Mus musculus: one gene and its partners. The protein of the gene in region 1 interacts with the protein of each later gene in a pairwise test. Links are inferred from orthologs where the notes say so. Each region holds a gene or a part of one and is shown in the gene's direction. Other genes may lie near its edges. The genes, in order: Disc1, Kif3a, Myt1l, Sptbn1, Sh3bp5, Dnajc7 and Mpped1.

The links.
Region 2: the proteins of Disc1 (region 1) and Kif3a interact in binary tests that used the Homo sapiens proteins (3 or more experiments, as listed by UniProt). The link is inferred for Mus musculus from reciprocal best matches to the Homo sapiens genes DISC1 and KIF3A.
Region 3: the proteins of Disc1 (region 1) and Myt1l interact in a two-hybrid assay, tested with the Homo sapiens proteins (2 studies listed by BioGRID and IntAct). The link is inferred for Mus musculus from reciprocal best matches to the Homo sapiens genes DISC1 and MYT1L.
Region 4: the proteins of Disc1 (region 1) and Sptbn1 interact in binary tests that used the Homo sapiens proteins (3 or more experiments, as listed by UniProt). The link is inferred for Mus musculus from reciprocal best matches to the Homo sapiens genes DISC1 and SPTBN1.
Region 5: the proteins of Disc1 (region 1) and Sh3bp5 interact in a two-hybrid assay, tested with the Homo sapiens proteins (2 studies listed by BioGRID and IntAct). The link is inferred for Mus musculus from reciprocal best matches to the Homo sapiens genes DISC1 and SH3BP5.
Region 6: the proteins of Disc1 (region 1) and Dnajc7 interact in binary tests that used the Homo sapiens proteins (3 or more experiments, as listed by UniProt). The link is inferred for Mus musculus from reciprocal best matches to the Homo sapiens genes DISC1 and DNAJC7.
Region 7: the proteins of Disc1 (region 1) and Mpped1 interact in a two-hybrid assay, tested with the Homo sapiens proteins (2 studies listed by BioGRID and IntAct). The link is inferred for Mus musculus from reciprocal best matches to the Homo sapiens genes DISC1 and MPPED1.

The regions. Positions count from the first base shown.
Region 1 is NC_000074.6:125,052,695-125,056,994, forward strand, and holds the start of Disc1 (disrupted in schizophrenia 1 homolog), read left to right. Parts: upstream 1-1,500; 5' UTR 1,501-1,535; coding exon 1,536-1,590; intron 1,591-4,300. UniProt on the Homo sapiens protein: Involved in the regulation of multiple aspects of embryonic and adult neurogenesis. Required for neural progenitor proliferation in the ventrical/subventrical zone during embryonic brain development and in the adult dentate gyrus of the hippocampus.
Region 2 is NC_000077.6:53,570,369-53,573,868, forward strand, and holds part of Kif3a (kinesin-like protein KIF3A), read left to right. Parts: intron 1-167; coding exon 168-441; intron 442-3,500. UniProt on the Homo sapiens protein: Microtubule-based anterograde translocator for membranous organelles. Plus end-directed microtubule sliding activity in vitro. Plays a role in primary cilia formation. Plays a role in centriole cohesion and subdistal appendage organization and function.
Region 3 is NC_000078.6:29,846,384-29,849,883, forward strand, and holds part of Myt1l (myelin transcription factor 1-like protein), read left to right. Parts: intron 1-2,861; coding exon 2,862-3,112; intron 3,113-3,500. UniProt on the Homo sapiens protein: Transcription factor that plays a key role in neuronal differentiation by specifically repressing expression of non-neuronal genes during neuron differentiation.
Region 4 is NC_000077.6:30,216,973-30,221,025, reverse strand, and holds the start of Sptbn1 (spectrin beta chain, non-erythrocytic 1), read left to right. Parts: upstream 1-1,253; 5' UTR 1,254-1,299; coding exon 1,300-1,447; intron 1,448-4,053. UniProt on the Homo sapiens protein: Fodrin, which seems to be involved in secretion, interacts with calmodulin in a calcium-dependent manner and is thus candidate for the calcium-dependent movement of the cytoskeleton at the membrane.
Region 5 is NC_000080.6:31,387,601-31,391,100, reverse strand, and holds part of Sh3bp5 (SH3 domain-binding protein 5), read left to right. Parts: intron 1-3,217; coding exon 3,218-3,382; intron 3,383-3,500. UniProt on the Homo sapiens protein: Functions as a guanine nucleotide exchange factor (GEF) with specificity for RAB11A and RAB25. Inhibits the auto- and transphosphorylation activity of BTK. Plays a negative regulatory role in BTK-related cytoplasmic signaling in B-cells.
Region 6 is NC_000077.6:100,595,628-100,599,127, reverse strand, and holds part of Dnajc7 (dnaJ homolog subfamily C member 7), read left to right. Parts: intron 1-399; coding exon 400-513; intron 514-1,073; coding exon of another isoform or gene 1,074-1,148; exon of another isoform or gene 1,149-1,701; intron 1,702-2,887; coding exon 2,888-2,962; intron 2,963-3,500. UniProt on the Homo sapiens protein: Acts as a co-chaperone regulating the molecular chaperones HSP70 and HSP90 in folding of steroid receptors, such as the glucocorticoid receptor and the progesterone receptor.
Region 7 is NC_000081.6:83,835,523-83,839,022, forward strand, and holds part of Mpped1 (metallophosphoesterase domain-containing protein 1), read left to right. Parts: exon of another isoform or gene 1-740; intron 741-750; coding exon 751-976; exon of another isoform or gene 977-1,189; intron 1,190-1,276; exon of another isoform or gene 1,277-1,942; intron 1,943-3,500. UniProt on the Homo sapiens protein: May have metallophosphoesterase activity (in vitro).

The DNA.
Region 1 (4,300 bases):
GTGAGCTACTCAGGATAGATGCTGTGAAACTGAACTCTGATCCTCTGCAAGAATGCTATGTGCTCTGAACTGTTGGGCCAGCTTTCCAGCCCCTGTTTTAAGACAGTTTATGTTATATATTCAGAGGTATGCCTAGTTATCCTCGGGAGTGAGTCAGGTAGACCTGAGAGTGTTTATGGCAGGCTGGCCAATTCAACTGTATTTACTACGGAGTGCCTCCTGAGGAGGAGAGGCGTTCCATTCGTTTTAGCTGACCACTTCAGATCGATCGCAGGCCATCACTGAGGGGAGTCAAGGCAGGAACCTAAGGCAGGCCTGCTTGCTATAGCACACAGCATTAACCTCCAATGGAGAGCTCACTTCACTGCCAATCAGGTATAGCAGGAACCACAGAGGACGCTGTTTGCCAGCTGGCTCGTAGATGGGCTTCAGCTCACTTAGCTTTCTTGGATAGTTCGAAACCTAGGTAATGGTGCCGCCCACAGTGGGCTGGGCCTTCGAAGGCCAGTTAACTGTCCAGACCTTTCTTACAGACGCGATACGGGCCAATCTGATCTAGGTAATCATGGACTAAAGCTCTCTGCTCACAGGACCCTAGGCTATGTCACACTGACAGGTAAAGCAAACTAGGATACCAACACAGTGCCTTTTTCAACCCTGTTACCCTACCCACTGCACTAAATCCTGACTCTGCTCATGTCTTTATCAACTTCAGCCGCATCCGCCCGTGCTTACCCGAAGGTTCCTGGTAAGAGGCAACTGCTCTGGCCCACCTTTCCAGCACCTGGTCTTTTTTCTAGGGCCACAGGCTCCTCCCTTCCAGCACGCACTCTCCCAGGCTTCTTCCCACTGCCCCATGCTCCACCCACAGTCAGGTCTCCGGCTGACTCCATGCAGTTCAGTTTTGTAGGTTTATTTTTGCCTCGGGGTCCAGAGGCGAGGTTATGACGGGCCTAACCCCTGACTGGCACTTCCTGTACCCACTGTCCTGTAGCAGGTGCTTTGCTGAAGCAGCCAAAGGGAAGGGATGGGGGAGGTGAGCCAGCTGCCAGGAGCTTGGCACAAGCCAAGGCTTGTGCCGTGCTCCTGGCCAGCCCCGTGCTGCCAGAGATTCGATTCTCAAGTCATTTTTAACAGCTGCTCCCACCCCCCCCGACCTGTCATCTGTCACTTTCCTTCGGCTTCACCGCGACTTGGTAGGAAGAAGTCCCTCTCTTGACCACCCCGCCTTTTACTCCCAGGGTCTGGGAAGCGCCCAGTCTTTCGGTCCCTGGCCACACTGCCCCATCACACTTCCCCTCCTTGGTTTCCTCCAAGTGAAAAGCAAAACTTTCTGCGCTGCGGTCTGGGAGCCGCGAGGGGCGGCGCGCGCGCGCTAGCGAGGGGCCGAGGCTGGAGAGGAAGCGGCGGTCCTGGGCAGGAGGAAGAAGCCAGCCCTCGGCTCGGCCCCCTGCCCGTTTCCCGCCGCCTCCGCGGCCGCCGCTACCACCATCACCACCACAGTCACCGCCGTCCGGGGCGCAGCCGGCCGCACGATGCAGGGCGGGGGTCCCCGGGGCGCTCCGATCCACAGTCCGAGCCACGGCGCAGGTAGGGCCCGGGGTTCTGGAGGAGGGCGAACGAGGCCTGCCGAGATCCGGGCGCACCCTGATGCAGGGGAGGGAAATCGAGGCAGTGAGCGGGGAGTGCAGGGTGCGGGCGGTCGTGTCCCCAGCTCCCACTGCAGCTCCCGTCCAAGCGCGTCCCCGTCCCGAGAGTCCGGCCGCCCTGAGGCGCAGTCGGCGAAGGGCGCGCCCGCACTCCTTCCTTGCGAGGTCCCGGTGGCCGCGAAGGTTTCCGCAGCGCCCAAGTGCAGCTCGATCCCAGGACTCCCTCGGGTGGCCGGCGCAGACGCTGCGGGGACGCGGGGCGAGGTTGAGAGAGGTGTGGGAACTGCAGCCCGCACCTCCCGTGGGGCTGCTCGCCGCCCACTTCCGAGTGTGGACTGTGACGCGCAGGGCAGCGCAGGCTGAGGGGACCCGCTCCATTTCCTCTGTCAGCTTGGGCCACGTACCAACCCCGGTGATGACATCGAGTTAAGTGGGTGGCCGCTTTTCAACCTCAGCAACTCACTGTCAGAAACCCCAAGAAAAGAACGTGATGGCACACGCCTCTTTTCCTAGCACTCGAGAGACAGGAAGACTGTGGAGACTTTCTAATACAATCTGGGCTACAATAGTGAGACTCTATCTCAAAAACCAAAATCAAATCAGAACAATGAAAAATAAAACAAGCACGGAGATCTGCTCCAGACTGGGCTTTGCAGTTTGGGCGTGTGCTGTGCCAAGGAGAGAAGGCAAAGGACTTAGGAGCTTCTTTTGGCTCTTGGAGCCTCAGTTTACCCATCTGTGAAAGGAGCACTAATCACTAGCTTCCCTACCTCCTTAACTGGCTTCTATGAAGACATTTTTGCAATTGGGAGTTGGAAAATACAGGGTTGGTAGGTGGGTGTAGGGTAAGAGTCTTCTGCACCCGCATCCTGGACTCGGGAATGCCTTAGTTTTTCAATTTGTAAAATGGAGCTGATTTTCCTGCCTACGTGGTAGATTTTAAAAGGGGTTTAATGTGGTAGGAGGACATGAAACCCCTGGCCAAATCTCTGCGATACAAAGCAAATTCTCAAAAATCTCTTAGTTGCCCAGGCTAGCCTTAAATCTGCTGCCTAGCCCAGGCTGGCCTCCAATTTGCTAGCCTTTGCCTCCCAAGTGCTGGGATTACAGGTGTGCTCCACTACGCACGGGTCCTTAAGTATTATTTTGACCATGCAAGACCTAAATAATCGTGGGCAATACAGGAATGCCAGTGTGACATGTTAGTGTCTGAGTTACAGGGTATTTGAAAAGACATTTGGCACCTGACATGGAGACCGTTGAGGTTTAGCCAGGATTCTGCCCACAGCAAATAGAGCCCTGGATGAGAAACCTGCTTTCTGAGCTGTCTCTCCAAGTCTCGGGCTTTCTCTTCTGTTTATAAGAAAGAGAAAGCACCTGGGCTGTAATTATTACCTTAGCCCTGAGAGTGCTGCCCTGGGATGGAGAGCAGAACATCTGGAACTGGGGCAGGTGACAGCCTACAGGCGACAGGTGCCACTTTGCAGAGAGTGCATGGGCCAGGCACTTGGTCCTGCCCTTTGATGAGGTCCCCCTCACACCGGTGAGGGGCTGGTGCTACCATCCTCATCTTCCCTTGGATGTGGCAAGGGTTGGAGTCACCTGCCTGTGGCCCTGGTGGTTAAACAGGGACTGGGGCTCAAAGTCAGATGCAGGTGTCTCCAATTACAGGCTGAAGGGAAGGTGTCAGGTGGAGCCCAGGCTGAGCGTGGACCTTTGCCTGGTCAAAGGTAATACCTGGTCTTCTGTTTCTGCCGTTTATACCTATCTTCATCTATCTATCTATCTATCTATCTATCTATCTATCTATCTATCTATCTATCTATCTATCTATCATCTATCTATCTATCTATCTATCTATCTTCTATCTATCAATCATCTATCTGTATATCTTCTGTCTCTATCATCTATCTTCAGCATCTATCAATCATCTATTACCTATCTATCATTTATCCATCAATCTGTCTGTCTATCTTCTATCAATTATCTACCTACCTATCTATCAATCATCTATCTATCTATCTATCTATGTATCTGTCTATGTATCTATCTATCTATCTATCATCTATCTATCTATCTATCATCTATCTATCATCTATCTATCATCTATCTATCTATCTATCTATCTATCATCTATCTATCTATCATCTACCTACCTATCTATCAATCATCTATCTGTATATCTTCTGTCTCTATCACCTATCTTCAGCATCTATCTATCAATCATTTATTACCTATCTATCATTTATCTATCAATCTGTCTATCTATCTTCTATCAATTATCTACCTACCTATCTATCAATCTATCAATCATCTATCTATCTATTTATCTATCTATCATCTATCCATCAACCTATCTGTCTGTCTATCTATCATCTATCAATTATCTACCTACCTACCTATCTATCAATCATCTATCTATCTATCTATCTATCATCTATCTATCTATCTATCTATCTTCTATCTATCAATCATCTATCTGTATATCTTCTGTCTCTATCATCTATCTTCAGCATCTATCAATCATCTATTACCTATCTATCATTTATCCATCAATCTGTCTGTCTATCTTCTATCAATTATCTACCTACCTATCTATCAATCATCTATCTATCTATCTATCTATGTATCTATCTATGTATCTATCTATC
Region 2 (3,500 bases), on another chromosome or scaffold:
TACCTATAAACCCTTTCTGTATATGTAGAGATCTTTAATTGCATTTATCGAAGGCTTGTAAAGTCTTAGCACATCCGGGATGCTGAGGTGGAAAAGTAGACTTTTCTAACTATATTTAGAGCAAAAGGAATGTTCTTCTCACTCTTTGTAAACACTGTCTCCACCAGATCAATAAGTCGGAGAAGCCGGAAAGCTGCGATAATGTGAAGGTGGTGGTTAGGTGCCGGCCTCTCAATGAGAGAGAGAAGTCAATGTGCTATAGACAGGCCGTCAGCGTGGATGAAATGAGGGGAACTATCACCGTCCATAAGACCGATTCCTCCAACGAACCTCCAAAGACATTTACTTTCGATACTGTTTTTGGACCAGAAAGTAAACAACTTGATGTGTATAACTTAACTGCAAGACCAATTATTGATTCTGTTCTGGAAGGCTACAATGGTGAGTGACTGTGCAGCTTGCTTTTATTGTTGCATAAGTAATGCCCGGTAAAATCGGTAGTTTACGTATCGCAGCTATGGCTTGATGAGCTATGGTAACATAGACGGTTGTGAGGCCTCACCCAGGTCCTGTTCTAGAACACTAATATCACCCTGCAGCGCTCCTTTCCACCCTCTTGCAGCTCCCACCTGCGTCCATTGACCTGCCATGGCGTCACTGTAGTTTTGTCCTTTTGAAAACGCATTTAAATGATGCCACGAAATGCCATCTTATGTGTAGGAGTATATTGCCTTCATGTAGGTCTGTGCTTGTTCCATATGCTTACAGTGGAGGTCAGAGAGGGTGGGCAGTCCTGGGACTGGAGTTCCAGGGTTTTGAGCCACCATGTAGGTGCTGGTGCTGAGAATCCAACCTGGGGCCTCAAGAGAGCAGCCACTGCTCTTAACTACTGAGCCACCTCTCCAGCCCATAAAATGCTACCTTTTAAAAAGCAGTTTTCTTTCTCTTTGTGTAATGTTTTGAACTTACCTGACTTCATCAGTAACTTCGTGACTTGAGAAAAAAAAAAAGATGTATTTATTCTTATATATGTGTATGAGTAAGTGTTTGCCTGTAAGTATGTGGACCATGTGCGTGCCTGGTGCCCTCCGAGGTCATAAGAAGGCTTTGGATTTGTGAGCCACCATGTGGGTTCTAGGAACTGTATCTATGTCCTCTGGAAAAGTGTAAAGGCTTTAAATTGCCGAGCCATCTCTCCAGCCCCTATCTTATTTTATTTTATTTTGGATGGTTGGTTTTGTTTTGTTTTTTTAAAGATGGTTTCTCTCTGTAGCTCTGGCTGTCTTTTGTAGATCAGGCTGACCTCAAGAGGTCTCCCTATCTTCCTGCCTTTGCCTCCAGGTGCTGGGAGTGTGTGTGTGTGTGTGTGTGTGTGTGTGTGTGTGTGTGTGTTTTAACTGCTGAATTGTGTTGCTTGCCACTGCACCTAGTTTTTGTGTATGTGTGTGTGTTTTAACTGCTAAATTGTGTTGCTTTATTGAGTCAGGTTCTCATATATTCCAGGTTGAATAACCTTAAATTTGTTAGTAGTTGAGGCTATCCTTAAACTCTTGAACTCCTTCCTGCTTCTCTAGCCTCCACTTCTGAACTGTATTCCATTGAATATGTGTAACACACTGCCCATTTACCAGTGGATTGAAGTCTAGATTTTTGTTAGATAAATAATGCTGCTGTATGCCTTTGTAAAGATGTAAAGTTTGTCTTGGATAGCTACCTAGAAACTGGATTGTCAAATGGTAAGAGAGAGAGTGTGTGTGTGTGTGTGTGTGTGTGTGTATCTCCAGTTGCTCCAGCATTGTGCCTTTGATTTCAGCACTTGGGAGCAGAGGCAGGCAGATCTCTGAGTATAAAATAGTGTTTAAATCCTCGATTGACAGAGAGTATTGAGTCTTCCGTTTCATTACCATGACTATGTCTTGCTCGCTTAAACTCTTTCACTTCTTTTAATAGTTTTACATTATTCTTACGAACTTAAGAAATTCCTTATGTGGGGACATGTGAGCCCCAGCATGGTATTCACGTAGCAATCAGAAGACACTTGGGGGAGTCATTCCTGCCTTCCTGGAATCAAACTCAGTGTCTTACCTACTCAGCCATCTCTCTTGCCAACTTCTTGGCATTTTGTCATGAATAGAATTTTCTGCATAATTTTATATTGGAATTAAGTATTGTTATTAATACACAGAAGTACATTTGATTTTAAAATAATTTTTATTAAGTTAAAATTTTAAGTGACATAAATCCACTCATCGTTTACAGTATAGGATTAATATTTCCAGTGGATCACGGGGTACAGACTGCCACCACCTCCTGTTGTTAGACTGTTTCCAGCAACCCAAGAGGGAATTTGAATTTCAGTCACTTCAGTCCGCTCAACACCACTGCTCTGTTGGAGTTTCCTGCTCTGGCATTTCATAAAAGTGGCTCACATTCCGCATAGTCTTTTATCTGACTTCTTTCATTAAGCACAGTGTTTTCTGTGCTCATTCTTACGTAGAGTGTATCAGTATTCAATTCACTCATTCATTCATTCATTCATTTATTCATTCATGTCATCACCAAATAGTATTCCCGTGTATAGATACTTTTTGTTTGTACATTCATCTGTTGAACATTTGGGCTGTTGTTACTTTCTAGCTAACTATTAGGAGTAATGTTTAGCATATTCTTGTACAAGCTTTTAGCTTTTCTGAACATATACACCTAGGAGTGGAGTTGCTGAGTCATGGGTTTACTTTCTTTGACCTTTTGAAGAACTGCCAACGTATATTTCACAGTGACATCACCATTTCACATTCCTACCAGCAACGTAAGCGGTCCAGTTTCTCCGCTCCCTTCCCAGCATCTGTTACCATCATTTTGGTATTAGCATCCCAAAGACACAAAGTCCTGTCTCATATCAACCTCATTTCTGCAACCTTGCTAAACTTAAAAATTCTTGTCACATTTCTGTGTTTGCCCCAGGTTAGCGGGTGGAAATCAAAATCTAGACCTTTATGCTTTAAAAAAAAATTCTCCAGGATTTTCTACATGCATAATTACATTGTCTGCCAGTAAAGACAGCTTTTACTTTTCTTTGCAGTCTTTTGCCTTTAATTTACTTTTGTTGCCCGAAACCCTGGCCAGAAAATTCAATAAATGTAGAGCATAATTGGAGAGAGCAAGTGCCCTGCTCCTGCTTTGACTGTGAATCTCATGTTAGCTGTAGGTTCCCACACACATTCTCAGCCAGACTGAGGAAGCACCTCCCTTCTAGTTCAGTTTGCTCACAGGTGTTTGTTTTGCTTATCTGTCTGTCTGTCCTTTCTTGCAGGAATGTAATATTACGTATTTTCAAATGCAGTTTTGTTCTTTTGAAGTTTGTCACTAGGTTTTTATAAGTGACGCCAGCTTTGTCACTTAGTCATGAATTATTATTCTTTTCAAATATTGTTACATTTGATTTGCCAAATTATTATTCAAAATTTTTGTGTTCACGAGAGATATAAAACACAGTTTTC
Region 3 (3,500 bases), on another chromosome or scaffold:
TCAGGCAGTGTTAGCAGGGTGAAAGACATCGTTTACTTGAACTAATTGAAGTACAGTCAGTGTTAAAATTATTTCACATAGAACAGAAGTTACTATATAGACTCAGTAAAAAGGAGGATATAGATGTGAACGTGACCCTAGCTGTATGAGTGATGGAAATGGACAGGTGCACGTAGGCGTTGCTGACAATTCAGTCGCCTGCTAGCCTTCTGCACTACCCCCTTGTCAGAATGCAGGCAGCATCTCCATGACTTACCTACTGGAAAAGTGCATGCTGCACCATATTCACACTCAAAGCTTCAAGATGATGGAAAGCGATCAAAGTTAGATAAGAAGAATGCAATCATTTTAAACATTTATTTTAGTAAATTGTTGCCAACAGATGTAGTGTTTTTGAGCAAATGAAATGCTAGGGCACAATACGACACATTCTTCCTGGACTGCAGCCCAAGTGCTTCTCTGTGTCTGCTGCCTGCCACAGACGGCCCCAGTGTCTGCATCTGTGTGGTGGGTATATAGCAGCATCCACAGGGAGGTAGGAAGCTAGGGGTCTGGTATACTTGGCCTGAGAAACAGTTGTCACGAGACAGGATGCAACAGAACATAGCTAAACTCCAAGAGACACCTGCTAGCTCTCCCCTAACTCTGCCCAGGAACCTAAGTAGGGACACTACACAGCACTGAGTGGCAACACCACGTCCCTGCTCTGATACAGCCCTACAGAGTGAGACCCTGTCTCGGAAAACCAAAAACAGCAACAACAAAAAACGAACAAAAGGGGATTTTTTCCCCTGGACCATTAGCTTGCCATCCCCACTTAAAAGAAAGAAAGAAAAAGAGAGAAAGAGAGAAAGAGAAAAGAAAAGAAAAAAATTTAAAAAGAGAGAGGAGAGGAGAGGAGAGGAAAGAGAAAAGAGAAGAGAAGAGGAGAGGAGAGGAGAGGAGAGGAGAGGAGAGGAGAGGAGAGGAGAGGAGAGGAGAGGAGAGGAGAGGAGAGGAGAGGAGAGGAGAGGAGAGGAGAGGAGAGGAGAGGAGAGAAGAGAAGAGAAGAGAAGAGAAGAGAAGAGAAGAGAAGAGAAGAGAAGAGAAGAGACAAGACCTTGTTGACTTGAGGAGGTAAATGCTGTAACACCAGCATTGTGACGTGGCAGGTAGATGCAGGAGGCTCTTCTATTCTAGACCGGCCCACACTATTTGGTGAGCTTTATCTCAGAAACCTCATATGTGGTATAGAGTTTTTCTACTGATTTCATGCTCTTATTTTTTATCAAAAAAAAAAAATGATGCAGAGTCATTAATGTGAGACCACATCCACAACATTTCAAAGCATTGCACATATAGTCCAGTGTCACCCACTGGGCCCATGTGCAGGCCTCTGCCTGGTCCCCTGTACTGTCCTCAGTCACTCAGGGGCTCATGGCTGCAGTTCTGTAATCATGCTAATGGAATTTAGAAAGAGAGAAGAGAGCAAGCAGGTGGCTCCCAGTACAGGAGTTGCCCTGTGCTACTCAGGTTGATCAGGTACCTGACTAACACTGTAGAATTACCAGTGTGTCCAAGTGGCTTCTTGTCCTCCAGGAGCTGTACTGAAACCGTCTGTGGTTCCTTAGAAGATACCGGGATGAAACAGTTGTTTGTGCATTTTGTTTCTGAGTGTAATGGCTGAAGTTAGAATGAGGTAGTCACTGTTGCCCCAGGATCTGATCATCATGGCCTTATCCGAAGTACCCTGAGTTTTATTAAAATGTTTTCCCAATACCGTATCTCCCCAAGTATGAAGCAGGCGACATTTAATCCAAACTCACATTACCAGTGAGGGTCATTTCACTCTTTAGTGTTTGGAAATAATTTCATAGTATGGGTTGCAAAACCTGTTAGTCACATGAGGTTTATGGTTCATTTTGTGTATTTCTTCCTCTTTGGGGGACAACTGCCAAAATCATAAAGACCCTCAGGTCATCAGCTAGGATCAGTGGCCAGTCTAAGGCCCCTCCCCTCAGTGCCTCTCTATTCCCTTAACAGTTCTCTTTAGATAATTCCTCACTCTGAGGAGGCTGGGCAGGGAGTCTCGTCTCTATGTGGAATATCTGGTCTTGGTGAAAATAAATATTCTGTGAGCTCAACTAGCTCTGCCTCTGTGTTAGTGTAAAGGACCCATGCTAATAAATCAGCCATGAAGGAGAGGCAGTGAAGCAGCTCTGAAGTTAACCCTTCCCCCAAATAGCTGCTGGTTGTATATGAGGGTGCTGCCATGAATGAATGCTAATCAAGGTATCTGTAAGGAAAGACACCCTGCAGGCAAATAAAGAGCTGCTCCAGGTACCCTCTGGTGTCCCATGCTCACCAGGGACAGGTCTCTGTCCTTGGGCACAGGGCAAGCTCATCCTTTCCTCTATCCAGAAGCCTGTCTAAAAATCACAGGACAGAGGTGTTTGGCTCACAATAGTTGGTATGCATGCACTGCCAGAAACTTACTTTACAAAGCCTGTAGTCCTCATAGCCTCAGTGGTGGTTCTTGGAGATCCTGAGGATCTGGGTCAACAACACAGGTTGATATCCACAGCCACATGTGGCTAGAAAGAGTGGTCAACCTCTTGATGTCGCAGTAGCCAAGTCCTGTCCTACCCAAGTGGGTAGATGCTGCAGCAGACATGAGTAGCCTGTCAAAACAAGGGTGATCCTCTCCCAAGGTCATCCTAATTATCTGTTCCTTCAAGCATGCACAGTGTGGAAGGGGACAGAATCTGGGCTCTTCATGAATAACCCTAATTTCTTTGTGTATAAAGATAGGTGGTCAGGACCAATTGTGTATCCTGCATCCTGGGTGCAGGGCCTAACCACACTGTCCTCTGTCTCTGCAGCCAAGCGGTACTGCAAGAATGCCAGCCCCAGCAGCAGCACCACCAGCAGCTATGCACCTAGCAGCAGCAGCAACCTCAGCTGTGGTGGTGGCAGCAGCGCCAGTAGCACGTGTAGCAAGAGCAGCTTTGACTACACACATGACATGGAGGCCGCACACATGGCAGCCACAGCCATTCTCAACCTGTCCACACGTTGTCGTGAAATGCCACAGAACCTGTCCACCAAGCCACAGGACCTGTGTACTGCCCGGGTATGCCCAGGGCCCCAGCCATGACCCATGGGAGCTGTCTATGAGTTCGTTCACTGCCAGCCCTATAGCCCTGTGCCTCAGAACAAAGAAAGGCCTTGGTCCCCTCCAGCCCTAACTTGTGCCTGGGACATTAGCACAGCCATCACCCATGGTCTTTATGGTGTCTCAGTTGAATAGTACACAAAACCAAAAAAGAGGTACAACTTGACATTTAAACAAGACAGTTTAGTGGCAGCATTTTTAGATAAATGTGAGGCTGTTCCTTCACCATGTGCCTAGTAGGTCTCACAGGTCAGAGAAGCCAAGAAGTGACATCCGATTGCACTCTTGATTGTCTGTGGTCTCAGCCAAAGCTGTTAGCTTGGAGGCGCCTTGGTGCTACAAGAGA
Region 4 (4,053 bases), on another chromosome or scaffold:
TTACCTTTCCCTCTGCACACCTGACTCCAACTATACTGAGCATACCTTGGTGTACCTTTGTCTGGTGTGCCATTCTTCTTGATCTGGCCATGATCTGTACCTTTTAGACACCGAGACCTACACTAAGCAGAGTATTTATTTCTGACCAGTCTAAAATAGCCAGTTTCAAATTCATCTGTTTGTATTTTATTTTCCTTAAACTCTCTGGCTTTTGTGTGTGTGTGTTTTTGGTCTCCCTTCTATGAGGATGTAACACTTGTGTCATTTATTGTTCTCCCCAGGAATCTAGAGCACTGCTGATCATGTAGTAATTCCTCAATATGGTTGGGTTCTGCATGTGAGTAATAGCTGTATTGAATGGAGAAACTGTATTTAAAACTAAACATATTTCTCTTGATCCTCCAAGAATACATTGATAAAGTGAAGACTTTAGTGAGCCAGAGCTTATTTCATAGTTATTCCTTAAAAAAAAAAAAACCCACCATTATCCTCAAGGGCTTTAAAGGAGTGGGCATTACTATTGGTATTGGTCCTAGAATTTATAGTAACAATGGTATAAATAATTATAATACCTATTGAGTATTTACTATGCATGGATACTATCTTTGTTGCCATATGCTTCCATCTTAACCTTAGGCATCAATTCTAATATGTAAATGAGACATAGAGACAGAATGATTTGTTAGTTTTTCTTATATAGTAGCTTATGAAGGAAAAACTAAACGGTAATAGACAATAAAACTAAGGGAATTCACTTAAAAAGATCCATGTAGATGCTGATACAGCCCTGATAAAACATTAAACCTTCACCTTAAACTTTTTTGGTTCATTTTGCTCTGTTTTGGTTTTTTTCAAGACATGGTTTCTCTGTGTAGCCATAGCTGTCTTGTACTCCAGGCTGGCCTCAGACACATAGAGATCAGCCTGCCTCTGCCTCCTGAGTACTGGGATTAAAGGTGTGCACCATCACTGCCCAGACACTTTAAACTCCTTTAGGAAAGAACATTAATTTGGCACCCAGTGTTTCCTTCAGTCTTCTCCCTCCTCCGGGTTTGGGGAAAGCATTAAAGTAGCATGACCGAGGTCACACATGTGCTATGAAGCAGAGCCAAAGTTCAGAACTGGCCTTGGCTCTAGAAGGCACATCTGGACAAGCAGTGACTGTCCTAGTTTTTCCTTATTATCACCCCAGCAGGTGTATAGAGGATGTACACTTTGTATACACACCTGTGCTTTTCCTTTTTTACTCACAGAACTCTGAAAAGTAACTGATGTGGACAAGCAGCTGAGACAGTCAAGATGACGACCACGGTAGCCACAGACTATGACAACATTGAGATCCAGCAGCAGTACAGTGATGTGAACAACCGCTGGGATGTGGATGACTGGGACAATGAGAACAGCTCTGCAAGGCTCTTTGAGCGCTCCCGCATCAAGGCCCTGGCAGGTAAGTGTCCTGATGTTGTATGTCCCACCTGTCACCAGATGTTCTGTAGTCCCTTGAACATCAACCATTTCTCTTTTAAGCTGTCTTGCTTGAAGTTGACCTCTCCCTGCTTTAACATATCCTATGAGAGCTTGCTTACCCTTTTATAAGACATTTACTTTTGGAGAGCTGCCGAACTTAATGACCAACATAGTTTAGAACACAGTAAATAATGTTTACAGCAATTTAGAAAGAGCTGCTAAGAGTTTGTAAGGATTTTTTAATTCTAACACATCTTTAATTTCAAGTGTTTTAACATACTATATTTATATAAAATATCCAACTTGGCTGTATACGTAATGCCAGTGGCAGATTAGCTGATCTTTTCGGTGAGAGGTTGGTAAGTACCTTGTTACAAGGGCTTTAGATCTGAAAAGTAGCAGTGTCCTGTGGGAAGGCCATATTTAATGCTGTTAATGAGTAGGTTTGCCACTGATCATTCCCATTCAGTTTCATTTTCTAGAGAAAAACCATGCCAGGTAGATGTTAAGTAGTTATTCCAATTATATTCTAGTTTACGATACAAAGTCTATTATAATAGGTGCCTTGATTATTAAATTGTAAGTTTGTCAGTACTTTTGACATGATTCACATGAACTAGAAACCCACAAGAAAGTATTCAGGAAACAAGGGAGCTAAACATTTATTCTGTGTCTGCTGATTGGATTCTTTGAAAAGAATCCTGAATTCATGATTATTTTTAGTCAAGTCATTTCTGTTTGCCAAGAATAGAGATGCATGTACTCTGAATTAAAGAGATGTGTTTGCTAGTAGAAAACACAGTTGTTCAACATGGACAGAGCCCTCATTTCATCCTTGCCATACAAAAACAAGTAACAGCAGCAGCATGTGATAGAATTAAAGGAGAATAAAGGGATTATCGTAAAATATCAGACAGGGGCCAGGTGTGGTGGCCATGCTTTTAATCCTAGCACTCAGGAAACAGAGGCAGGCAGATGTTTGTGAGTTTGAGGCCAGCCTGGTTTACCTAGCAAGTTTTAGGCCAGCTAAGATTGATGTGGTAAGACACTGTCTCAAATAAGAGAAAGAGAGATGGATGGAGGGAGACAGGGAAAGTGGAGGTTGGTCTCATGCAAAGCAGGCTCAACAAAGCCATGTGCTAACTGCTATAGGACAGTATCTCAGTTATTCTTCATTTGTTGGAGCCCTCCACTTAGTAACTGCGCCTTCATAATTTGTCTTACACCAGACTTGGGTGCAATGTAGATTCAATGAAACCTCAGTGCAAAATTATATTTATAATTTAATTGACTTAATAACCCAGTTTCCTTTTAGTACAAATTTCTGTAAGATTGGGTGTGGTATTGAAATTCTGTTTGGCCCAGATATTTATATAGCAGGCCATGGCTAGCTGGAGACTTACAAATGATTGCCTTTAAAAGAGGCAGCTTAAGACTGGTGCAATATTGCCCACCAGCCCTCCCAACCCAAGTTTGATCCCTGGGACCCACATAGTGTCAAGAGAGAATTGAGTCACAACAGTTTTTCTTTGACCTCCACACCATGCCGTGTCATGTGTGCAAATCTTTCCTTCAAATTAAAAATAAATAAAGACAGACAGACAGGAAGGAAGGAAGCCAGCCAGCCAGGTAGTGATGTGCATTTCTTTAATCTCAGCACTCAGGTGACAGAGGCAGGTCTGAGTTTCAGACCAGCCAGGTCTACAGAGTGAGTTCTAGAATGGCCAGAGCTACACAGAAAAATCCTGACTGACAAAAAAAAAAAAAAAAGATCAATCAGAAAAAATATATTTGAAGAAAATGTAGCAGTGCTACCCAGCGGTCTGTCTGTCTAGAGGTGTGGTTGGTGTGTTCAGAGCAGATAATTTGTAGATTAGAGAAAGAAGGCTTTTATGTTAACTTTTTAAGGGAGATTAGCATATTCTGCATGAAGATAAACCATCTGTGAAAGGAAACAAGGTGCAAATTGGCCCCAGAACAAGAGAGACTTAGGTAAATAAACAAGTCTCTTTTTAGCCTCCTTCTGTGAGTGCCTTACCCCCTGTAGTGGTCTTCCAGATTGCAGGAAGCCTGACTGCTGTATGCTGAGCGTCATTGCTCATCCCTTCCCTTTTGCCTCTTGTCAAATTCTAGTTGGAAGCACTGGTGTGTTGGGATTGGAGGGAGGCTTTGGGCACTGAGCTGTGACTGGGCTATAGCTATGTTAGAACACAGAGCCCTTTGGAGATGTTCTCTGCAAAAGCTGGTGGCTCTCAGGGAGATGGCACTAAATGGCACTAGGCAGCAGAACAGTCAAGTAGATGCTTGTTTTCAACTCAGAGATAACATTTTACAAAATGGTAAGATTACAATAACCATTAACTGTTTTCCTTTAAGAGAAAAGAAGCAGAAGTGGATACCTCTCTTTAAAATCCTGGAAATTCTTGAAGAGAAATGAACCTTATACTGTTAGGCCTTTAAAATAAGCCTCTACTGAAGTGCCCAATACTAGAACTGCTCCAGGTCTGGTTTGGTTTGTTCTTTACAGTGCTGACATAAAAATCCGTGTGTTATTTAATAAGGCAACAAAAACACTTACCACATATC
Region 5 (3,500 bases), on another chromosome or scaffold:
CACCTATTGTCAACCTCAGGCTTCTACACACGTGTGTCCATACTATACAAATGAAAAAATTTGTGCACACATACCACCATACTTGCTACAAACAACAACAGCAAAAAACCCACAAGGCCGGGTGTAGATGGGAAGTAGAGACAGGAGGATTATGGCAAGTTCAAATCCAGCCTACTCTATAAACCAAGTTCCAGTCCAGCCAATGCTGTCTAATGAAACCTTAAAGGAAAATTAAGTGGTTCGACTCATCTTTGTAATCCCAGACTTCAGAAGGGTGAGGCAGGAGGATTTGCTTGAGTTTGAGCCCAACCTCAAAGCCTCAAAGAAGATTTAAAAAAAAATTAGATAGATAGATAGACAGACAGATAGAGCGATAGATATAAATAGATAGATAAATAGGTAGATGGATGGATAACGGAAGAAGGGGCAGAGAGATCCCATTTTAGAAAATGTTGGGTCTCAGGGGGTGAGTCCCTGTGTCAGAGCTGTGGGAAGGTTGTGGGTATACTGAGATAGGGGGATGGGTCACAATTCACCTTCCTTAAGCCTGCCCAGATCTCCCTTCTTGCCTGTCTGGAGAAGTAAGATGGGCAGGAGGCTCAGCTTGGGGAAAGAGTGCAGTTGTCAGCGTGGTACAGTTACTTCTCAGTGGCTGGTTGGTTCTAGAGAGGGTGTGCATCCCCACCCCTATATGTGCTTCAGGCTACCTCAGGGGATGTAGATGGCTGGTAGGTGGGCATTCATTTAGGCTTCTATTACTGTTATTGTTATTAATTTTTTTGAGACAGGATCTTGATGTACAGCCCAGGCTGGCTTTTTAAAATGCTCCTTTCCGGGCATTATCAGATCTCCTACAGACCCTTCAGAGTCTTAAGTGCTCCCCTGACCTCCATCAGCCCTGAGTTGGAGCTCCTGCCTGCCCTTCAGGCCTCTCTTTAGGAAAACCTCCCGCAGTTTCCTCTTATGTGAAGCAAGTTCCATTCTCCTGCCCTGACCCAATCTTGAAGCATAGATTTCTACACATCATCTACATGTGGGGCGCAGTCCCCAGAATGGATCTCTCTGGGCTGTGGGTGTGCACAGACCAGACAAGCGGATGCCCGTTGTGGGTTACCATGGGTTACCGGGCTGTTTCTTCCCCCAGGGCTGCTATATTCTCAGCTGTTCCTCTTAATTTTCTTTGCAAAATGCCCTCAGTCTATGTGAAAATTTCCTCTAAGTCATGTGAGGCTTTCTCTGGGGAAGGGTGGGGTCCGCTTGTTCCCCTCCTAAGTCCCAGGGACTGTCCTGGGGCTGTCCCATTAGGGCTTCTGTAATTGGCCCAGGGACCCTGTTGACTCTGGAAGTGGTCTGGGGCAGATTAGCAGGAGCCATGTCCTGCCCCTACCCAGGTGGGAATTTGGAGGTGAGCTGGAGGAGAGAGGGGCCAGCAGTGACTGCTTTCAGGGGAGTGTGTGCTTCAGTGTGAGTGTGGACACCAGAGGATGCACTCCAGGGGTCCTCACTGAATACCTTGTTTGAGATAGGGTCTTGTTTGCCTCTGCATTCACCACACCAGTTGACCTGGTCTGTGAGCATCTGGGGGGATTCTGCTGTCTCCGCCATTTCCCCTCTGACCCTGGAGCACTGGGTTTCGGATGCGTGCTACTGGGTCTGGTTTTACATGGATTCTGGGGCCCTGAACTTAGGTCTTCACGCCTGCACAGCAAGCGCTTTTCCTACCAAGCCATCTCCCCAGCCCTGTGTCTCATGCAGTCACATGACATAGCCCACTCTTGAGGGACGAACATCAACAGCCCTAAAGTAGTAGAGAGTCACCTATGAGGAAACAAACAGCGGAAATTAATTTCAGTCTATTGGATTTAGTTTAGTGTATCTCATCATTGATCAAAAAAATGGCTAATGGGATAATCAACATTTTTCTACTGAGTCTTTAAAATGAGGTGTGTGTGTGTATTGTGCATGTGTGCATATTCACATGTGTGGCACATGTGTGAGCAGGTAGGTACTCATGAATATGTGTGTGTACGTGCTTGTGTGTGAGTGGGTATCAGGAATCGTCTACTTCAGGTTTTGAGGCAGGGTCTCTCAGTCAAGCCCAGGACTCTAAGAGTCAGCTAGTCTTTCTAACCAGCTTGCTTCAATAACCTCCTGTCCTTATTTCCTGAGCTGTGGCAGCTGCCACACCTCCCTGGCATTTATGTGAGTTTTGGGGATCTGAGCCTCCGGTCCTCCTGCTCGTGTAGCAAGCACAGCAACTTCTGAGCTCTCTCTGGGCTGTGAGAGATGTTTGCATTTTCTTGTTAATCACATTTAGATGCTCAGGGGTTACGTGCTGGCCTGAGATTGTTTAATCAGTACAGTGCTGGCTGTGCAAGCATCCCCAGAACCTGCGGAAGGAAGCCAGGCAGGAATCCCAGAGCCGGAGAGGTGGCTGGATCCTGGGGCTCTCTGGCAGCAGCCTAGCCTAACAGGGGACTTCCCGCCAGTGAGAAACCTTGTCACAGAAAACAAGGCTCCTGAGGAGTGGTCTCCAGCATTAACGTCAGATTTCCCCATGTGCACATGTCTACATGCAGACACATGCGTTGGCGGCTGCTGTTTGGGCTGCTGTTTGTATTGCCTCTTCCTTCCTGAAAGCAGGGCTTGTGCTCTCAGTAGGCCTGGGCCTGGGTGTATATGTGGACTGAGGGGGCTGTCTGGCAGTGGACGTGCTAGGCTGGCACTCGTGCTGTGGGGCATTTGCCTGGAGCCTTGCTTCTGATCAGCTTTGGAGTCTCGGGAAAAGCTGTTTTCAATTACTGTGCCTCATCTGTAGAGCGGAGCCCTACAACTGTGGTCTCTGGAGCACTTTGGGCTGTGGCGTGCAGGGAAGATGCCCAGGACTGCTGTGCCTATCTGGGCATCAGTCCTAAGCCAGGACTTTGGGGAAAGGCTTAATTAGCCATTGCCATCACAGATGCAAGATCCATGCATCTGATTATCTGTTGAGCTCCAGACTGGAGACTGTCTGCCCACCGACCTGGTATTCACTCAGCCACTGGCCACCTGCTATCCCGTCCCACATATGAGGGACCTGTCCCATGCAGCCTGTCCAAGAGGGAGGCAGAGATGGATAGGTCAGATCTCGGGCCACTCATCTCGGGGGGTGGGAGCAATGGACCTCAGGGAGTCCTGGCCTTTGCCTCAGGCCTTACTAGACCTTCTCTCTCAACAGGCTCAGCTGGAGGCGCAGAAGGCCACACAGGACTTCCAGAGGGCCACCGAGGTACTCCGTGCAGCCAAGGAAACAATCTCTCTGGCTGAGCAGCGGCTGTTGGAGGATGACAAGCGGCAGTTTGACTCTGCTTGGCAGGAAATGCTGAACCATGCTACTCAGAGGGTAGGCGGGACCTGTGTGCGCTGGTGGTGGGGACCCAAGCCACATGCTGGATGTCCTTTGGCTCCCCCACAAGAATAGAGACAGGTTTCTAGGCAGCATGAAACCCTCCTGTAAAGGT
Region 6 (3,500 bases), on another chromosome or scaffold:
CTAACCATTAGGAGCATTTCCTCTTTTCATTGTGACAGCCACAACCATCTCCTAATTGTGACAATGTCCCCTCAAGATCAAGTGCTCCCTCTGAGAGCATTGTTCTGCCTTTTCACTGCATGCTGGTGTGTAGACTGTTTTTTTGGTTTTTTGGTTTTTTTGGGGGGTTGTTTTTTTTGTTGTTGTTTTGTTTTTTGTTTTTCGAGACAGAGTTTCTCTGTGTAGTCCTGGTTGTCCTGGAACTCACTCTGTAAACCAGGCTAGCCTTGAACTCAGAAATCCTCCTGCCTCTGCCTCCCAAGTGCTGGGATTAAAGGCGTGCGCCACCACGCCCGGCTGTTTGCTGTTGTGTTGACCTGTGCAGTCATATTTCTTTCCTCCCTCTGTGCTTTCTTCTAGGGACACCTCCGAGAAGGCAAGTGCCACCTCTCACTTGGGAATGCAATGGCGGCATGTCGTAGTTTCCAAAGAGCCCTAGAACTGGATCATAAAAATGCCCAGGCACAGCAGGAGGTAGGTCTGATCTGTTCCTATGAGAGGTGGTGGTGCGGTGGGTCTGGAAAGAAGAGTGACCAATAAGGCAGGACTGACAGTCTCACTTCACCAGCAGCCACACTTAGCCAACTTTAGGTAAATCTCATAGTCTCTGCGACTGTTACCTTAACTGTTAAATGAGTTTTCAGTATGTAAAAAGTGGAAAGCTTCAGAGATGACTGGGTAGACGCATAATGCTTCAGGAAGGAAGCTAAGGAACGAAATTAAAGCATTTGAATAAAGTCAGAGCTAGGGTGTAGCTCAGTTACAGAACATTAGTCTAGATGTTCTGAGTCTCGGTTTCAGACCTTGGGTTTGTCAGAAAGAACTGGTCTATGCTCAGATGTGGCTTAAGCTGGTAGCACACGTCTTTCAGTTCCACCTTTGTAGTAGGTGCCTGGACACATCTGAGTGAGCATCTCAAAACTGCCCAACCCCTGGCTTATGGTGGCCATATTTTATGTCTCCTGTCTTCCTGACAGGAAGTCAACATTAAACAAGAAACTTGGGTCTTGACCTTTTCTGTTTTCTTTTAAAAGATAGGGTTTCAAGTCTGGAAATGCACCTCACTGGACAGTGCTGGCCTAGCGTGCGTGAGGCCCTCGTCTCAGTAAAGCCTTCTGTGGTAGTGCACACTTTGGAATCCCATTACTTAGACAATGGAAACTGAAGGACAAGTTCAAGACCATCTGCAGCTACATAACAAGTTTAAGCTAGCCCAGGCTACATGAGACCTTGTCTCCAAACAAAACAAAAAATGGGTCTCCATGTAGCCCAGGCTAACTGGTCTCGTCTGTCTTGGTATTGGAGGGGTCTATTTGTCACTAATTTTATGTGTATTGCTATGAGAGTATCAGACCTTCTGGAACTGGAGTTACAGACAGCTGTGAGCTGCCATGTGAGTTGCTGGGAATTGAACCCAGGACCTCTGAAAGAGCGGCCAGTGCTCTTAACTGCTGAGCCATCTCTCCAGCCCGTCACCAGCTTTTTAAGGAAATGTTTAATTCTTATTTTCCTTGGAGTGGGGGTTTGGTTTTTTGAGGCAGGGTTTCTCAGTGTGTCCCTGGCTGTTCTGGAATTTGTACTGTACACCAGGCTGACCTCGAACTCACAAAGACCTGCCTGCCCCTGCCTCCTGACTGCTGGGATTAAAGGCTTGCACCACAACTGTGGCTCCTTTTGTTTTGTTTTTTAAATTTATGTGTATATGTACTCTTGTGCTTTCGTTTGTATGAGGGCAGACTTGTACTGGCTGTGGCAGTGATGTTGGAGATCAGGGTTATTGCCTGGAAGATCATGTCTCCTGTTCTGTCTTGCTTAAAACAGTCTCTCTAGTTTTTTTGTCTTTGAGACAAGAGTCTCACATGTCTGTGAATGCCCTGGAGCTGGATGTATAGAGCAAGCTGCCCTTTGCTTCTCAAGTGGACATTACACTGACCAGCAAGATAGGATCTCTTGCTTGCTTGCTCCATACTCACTCTCAGCTAACTGACACTCCAGCTACTGGAGAGTCTTATTCCCAGTCCATCTTGCCTTGGCAGCACTGGGTTTATATATACACACTGCCATGTCTGGTTTAACATGGGTTATGGAATTTGATCTCAGGTCGTCACACTTGTATGGCAAGTGTTTACACACAGAGTCATCTCCCTCACCTTGATTTTGTTTATATATTGTATGCACGCATGCCACCTGTATACCTGTGTCTACAGAAGCCAGAAGAGGGCATCAAATCCCCCTGAGGCTGGTGCTAGGACTAAACTCAGTACTGTGGAAGAGCAGCGAGAGCCCTTAAACACTGAGCCATCTCTCATGTGTCCTACCCTATGAGTCCACACACCCCCTTTACTGGGTTTCTAGATCAGGTCTCTATCTGATACACTGTGTAATCCAGGTTAACCTTGCCCTCGCTATTCCCCCGAGTGCTGGCGTTACAGACATGTAGCACCATGCCTGCTGCTTTGATGTGATTCTTTTTTTCCTTCTTTCTTTTTCGAGATAGGGTTTCACTATGTAGCTGTGTAGCTGTGGCTGGCCCTAAACTCACAGGAATGGACCTGCTCTGTCTCTCTCTGTGTTAGGGTTAAAGGTGCTTGCCACCATGCCCAGCTTCTGTGGTTTGAAAAAGTTGTGTTGTTGAGACCGTCTTACTATATAGCCCTGGCTGTTCTGGAACTCACTATGTAGTTCAGGCTGGCCTCAAACTCAAGAGATCTACCTCCTGAGTGCTGGGATTAAAGGTGTGCACCACCATACCCCGCTCCAGTGATATTCTTGAAAGAAGGAATTCATCAGGGTCTTAGTGACTTTTATGATTGTTCAACCTAAACTTCATTTTTTTCCCATGGTGTAGTTCAAGAACGCCAATGCCGTCATGGAGTATGAGAAAATAGCAGAAGTGGATTTTGAAAAGCGAGATTTCCGGAAGGTAAAGTAGAAGCGACTACAACCTACCCTCCTCTGTGCTGTGATAATACAGAGCGGTCTAGACTAGTACATTGTCATTCAAATTTGGCTTTGACCTTTTCTCTCTTAAAAGTATTTTTTGCTAAGTTGCTTTATTTCTTAATTTTATTTGGCTTTTCAATAAGGAGCAAAAATCAGCTTGCTTATATTCCCGTTGGCTATGTCAGGTAGTGTATCTCAGATCTGTGCTAATTAATGAAAGAAAAGTCAGCTGGAAATAAATACTGGGGCTGAGTAATCCATATTTATCTGATTAACTTGCTTCTGATGGAGTAGATGCTATAAATAAGGGTGGGAGACGGAAACCCTCATTACATTTTTGGAGTGTGTGTAACCTGTTACATCACCTCTCTCTGCCGTCTGTCAGCCTCGGCTTCAAGTGCTAGGATTACAGCATGAGCCCCTGCCACCTTTTTGATGTTATTTTGGGTCTTGTGTGTAGCTCAAGCTGGCCTGAAAGTTGGCAGTCCTCTGCTGCCGCTATACCCAGCTTGGTGTTA
Region 7 (3,500 bases), on another chromosome or scaffold:
CAGAGCCATTACAGCTTCCTTCATGCAGCAACCGAGGCAGAGGGCTGGGCAATGTGGGATCTGGGCACTGAATGAGGGCAGGGTGAATGGCATTTTTCTGGGCCAACGGGGAGGATGCCCCGTAGGTGGGCACCGCTGGTCACTCTGAGGCTGTTAGCCTCCTGGGGTTTGTTTGTTTGTTTGTTTGTTTGTTTGTTTGTAACCTGCTGTGTGGTTCTTGGGTCTGAACCTTGCAGATGACATCAGACCATGGTGTGCAAAAGGTTGGGCATTCCAGAACCTTGTATTGACTGCAAATTCCATGCGGATGCTGCTGGGCACTGGGGTTTTCCCTGAGGGCAGCATTTCTGAAGGTTTGAACCGGGTTCTACCAAGAGCTTGCACGTGTAGGCTGAGGAGTGATAGCCTAAGGTGGAGAAAGCTGAGAGACTGGTGGCAGCTGAGGCTGATGGCCCTGGGAGGTTTTCTTCTAGTCAGAGGTAGACAGAAGGGAGGGAAGCAGAGAAAACTGAGGCAGCTTAGGTCCTGGAAGGATGCTGCTCTGTGCACAAGGACTGATGGTCAGTAAAGGCCAGGCAGGCTGAGCCTGGAAAATGATTGGGACACTGCCTTCTCCGATTCAGAGGTCAGGATGGGGCAGTGGGGTACCCCTGCCGAGGGACTCCAGTGATTGTCCCCAGCTATCTCCCTTTGGTGGCCCTGTGGCTTCCACAAGGGCCGCCAGCATCTCTGTGCATGCCCACCCCGCAGGCAGCCTGCCCTATGAGTACAAGATCGTGATTGCGGGCAACCACGAGCTGACCTTCGACCAGGAGTTCATGGCCGACCTCATCAAGCAGGACTTTTATTATTTCCCGTCCGTGTCCAAGCTGAAGCCGGAGAACTATGAGAACGTGCAGTCTCTGCTGACCAACTGCATCTACCTGCAGGACTCAGAGGTCACGGTGCGTGGCTTCCGGATCTACGGCTCCCCGTGGTGAGTGTGATCGGCCCCCACCTTCACCAGCTGTTAGGGCGAGGCAAGCGGGTGGTGGCAACTCCAGTCTCCTACAGGGGCATTGGGACCCAAAGTTGAGGCTCAGGGCTGGTGCAATGAGAACAGGAGGATCTGGGACTTGGTCTTGTCACTCTCACCATCTGTTTGACCTCAGGCAGGCTACTGTCACCCCCTGGGCCTCAGTTTCCCCATCTGGAACCAAGGAAGGGTAATCAAGGAAGGGTAATATCATCTATATTCTCTACATTTATATATATATATATATATATGTTGTCTTACATGCAGGCAGGTGGTATTGTCTCCAACTCACGATAAAGAAATGGAGCTGGGAGAGAGTACGGACCTTCCAAGATGGCACAGCTCAGCAGGGGAGGGCTGCAGCTGCAGGGCTTTCTTTCAAACACGCGCCTCCAGCACGAGGGAATCTTCCCTTTCTGCCTGTCTTCTGTCCTCCCACAGAAAGGCATGTGGTTGTTGGAAAAGACAATTGATCCACATAATTGAGGAAAGGCATCTGGGACCATCAGACGGTCCCATGGGGCACTTTCTTGTATGGGGACAGCAGCTGTTTAAAAAACAAATGCACAGGGAACCCTTATTCTCTTGGAGACAGTGGCTGACTGGGCCATTGCTCTGAACTCACCCTGCTGGGTGGTGCTCGAAGTGACCACGGGTCCAGACTTGCTTTGTGATGGTCACTGTGTCCTTGGCAATGGTAACTGACTATAACAGTGCTGCTGAGGACAGCGATGGTGATGGTGGAGATCTGTGGTGATGGTGATGATGATGTTGGTGTGATGCTTATGATGGTGATGATAACGATGACGATGAAGTTGGTAATGGTGTAGATGATAGTGATGATGGTTATGTTGGTGATGATATTGATGATGATGGCAGTGACGCTGCTGCTGCTGGTGTTGGTGATGATGGCAGTCGCCGGTGAGGCTGGTGGTAGTGATAAGGATCAGGTAATGAACAAGATGGTGGTGATTCTGCTGCCGCCTGTGGCATCATGTCAATAGTCTGTGGGCAGATCTACTGGCCCTTGCGTGGTCACAGGGTGTGAAGTGCTGGCAGGGTGAGAGGAAGCTCCCCAGAGAAGATGGATGACCTCAGCCTCATGGGAGGAGATGGGCGTGGGCAGGGAGGGAGTGGCACTGTGGAGGGCTCTGGGTGAGCTAAGAAAACACAACACATCTGGGGAACCCTGGGCCGTGGTGTTTGGTGTCCCCTGGTGATTTGAGGCCGAGGTGGGGATAGGGCCTGTGTGGATCTTATGAAGCCCCAGGGATGGGAGAGGGGCCAGCCTGACTCATTCTTCTGCCCCAGGAGGAGCCTGCTGTCTCTGCCTGGGGTGGTGATGCTCAAGGGTTCCATGCTCTCCTGCTGCCTCTGAAGGTTTTTGGACACTCAACGATGTGAGGGACTCGAAACCAAGGGCAAGGATGTGAGAAGGAGGCTGAGGCTGCCTGACAGGGTGCAAAGGCTGATCTGAAGCCTGCTCGTGTGAGAAGCTCACCTTGAGCAAAGTCTTGGGTCCTGAGGCCTGAACAATCTGGGCGGGGCAAAATAGGGTGGGGCCATCAGGATGAGAGGCGGAGGTTCCGAGTGTGAGGTCAAGAATCAAGACTGGGTCTCTTTTCCCTGTGGTTTACAACCTGCCCCAACACACACACACACACACACACACACCCCATATACACCATACACACACCACACACACACACTACACACCACACACAAACCATATACACATCACACACATACCTATACACACACACACACACACACACACACACACACACCATATACACCATACACACCACACACACACACACACACACACAGCTCCTTAAAAAGAAGGTTATAAAGGTTAGAGGCATGGCTTAGAGACCAAAACAAACAACCCCCCCCCAAAACCAAGAAACCCTAAGCTTAATTTTAGCCTCACATTTTGTGGGCTGTGTTGCCCTGGGCATCACTGGGTGACCTTCCTATGCCTTAGCCCACTTTCTTACAGAATGGGGTGGCAGTGTGCCCTCCTCCAGTGGTGGCTATAAGGTGTCAGAGGGCTCCCCTGAGCCTATGGCCATTGCCATAAGTGCTCAGAGGATGGAGACCTGCTTTGTTAGTGTGCCCTTCCTTCATGGTCTAGTAAGGAGGGCGAGGGGAATGGAGGAGACACACCACCCAGCAGCCAGGCTCAGGAGAGCTGAGTAACTCAGCGTCAGGGCTCCCTAGGTGTGCACTCCTCTCTCCAGGGAACGGCTCATCAGCCATCACTGAACTAGCCAAGAGGGTGAGGCTTGGGTGAGCCCAGCTGCCAGTTCAATCACTGTCCTGATGCTTGGAGCTCTGGCCACCAGTGGCCCCAGTGTGACCTTCACTGTGGACATGACTGGCCTCTCTAGTCCTGGCTTCCCCCAGGCCTTGCCTTCTTCTTGACCGCAGACCTGTGCCAGCGGAAGCCCAGGCTGGTGAGCAGAGTAAATGAGTAGGGTGT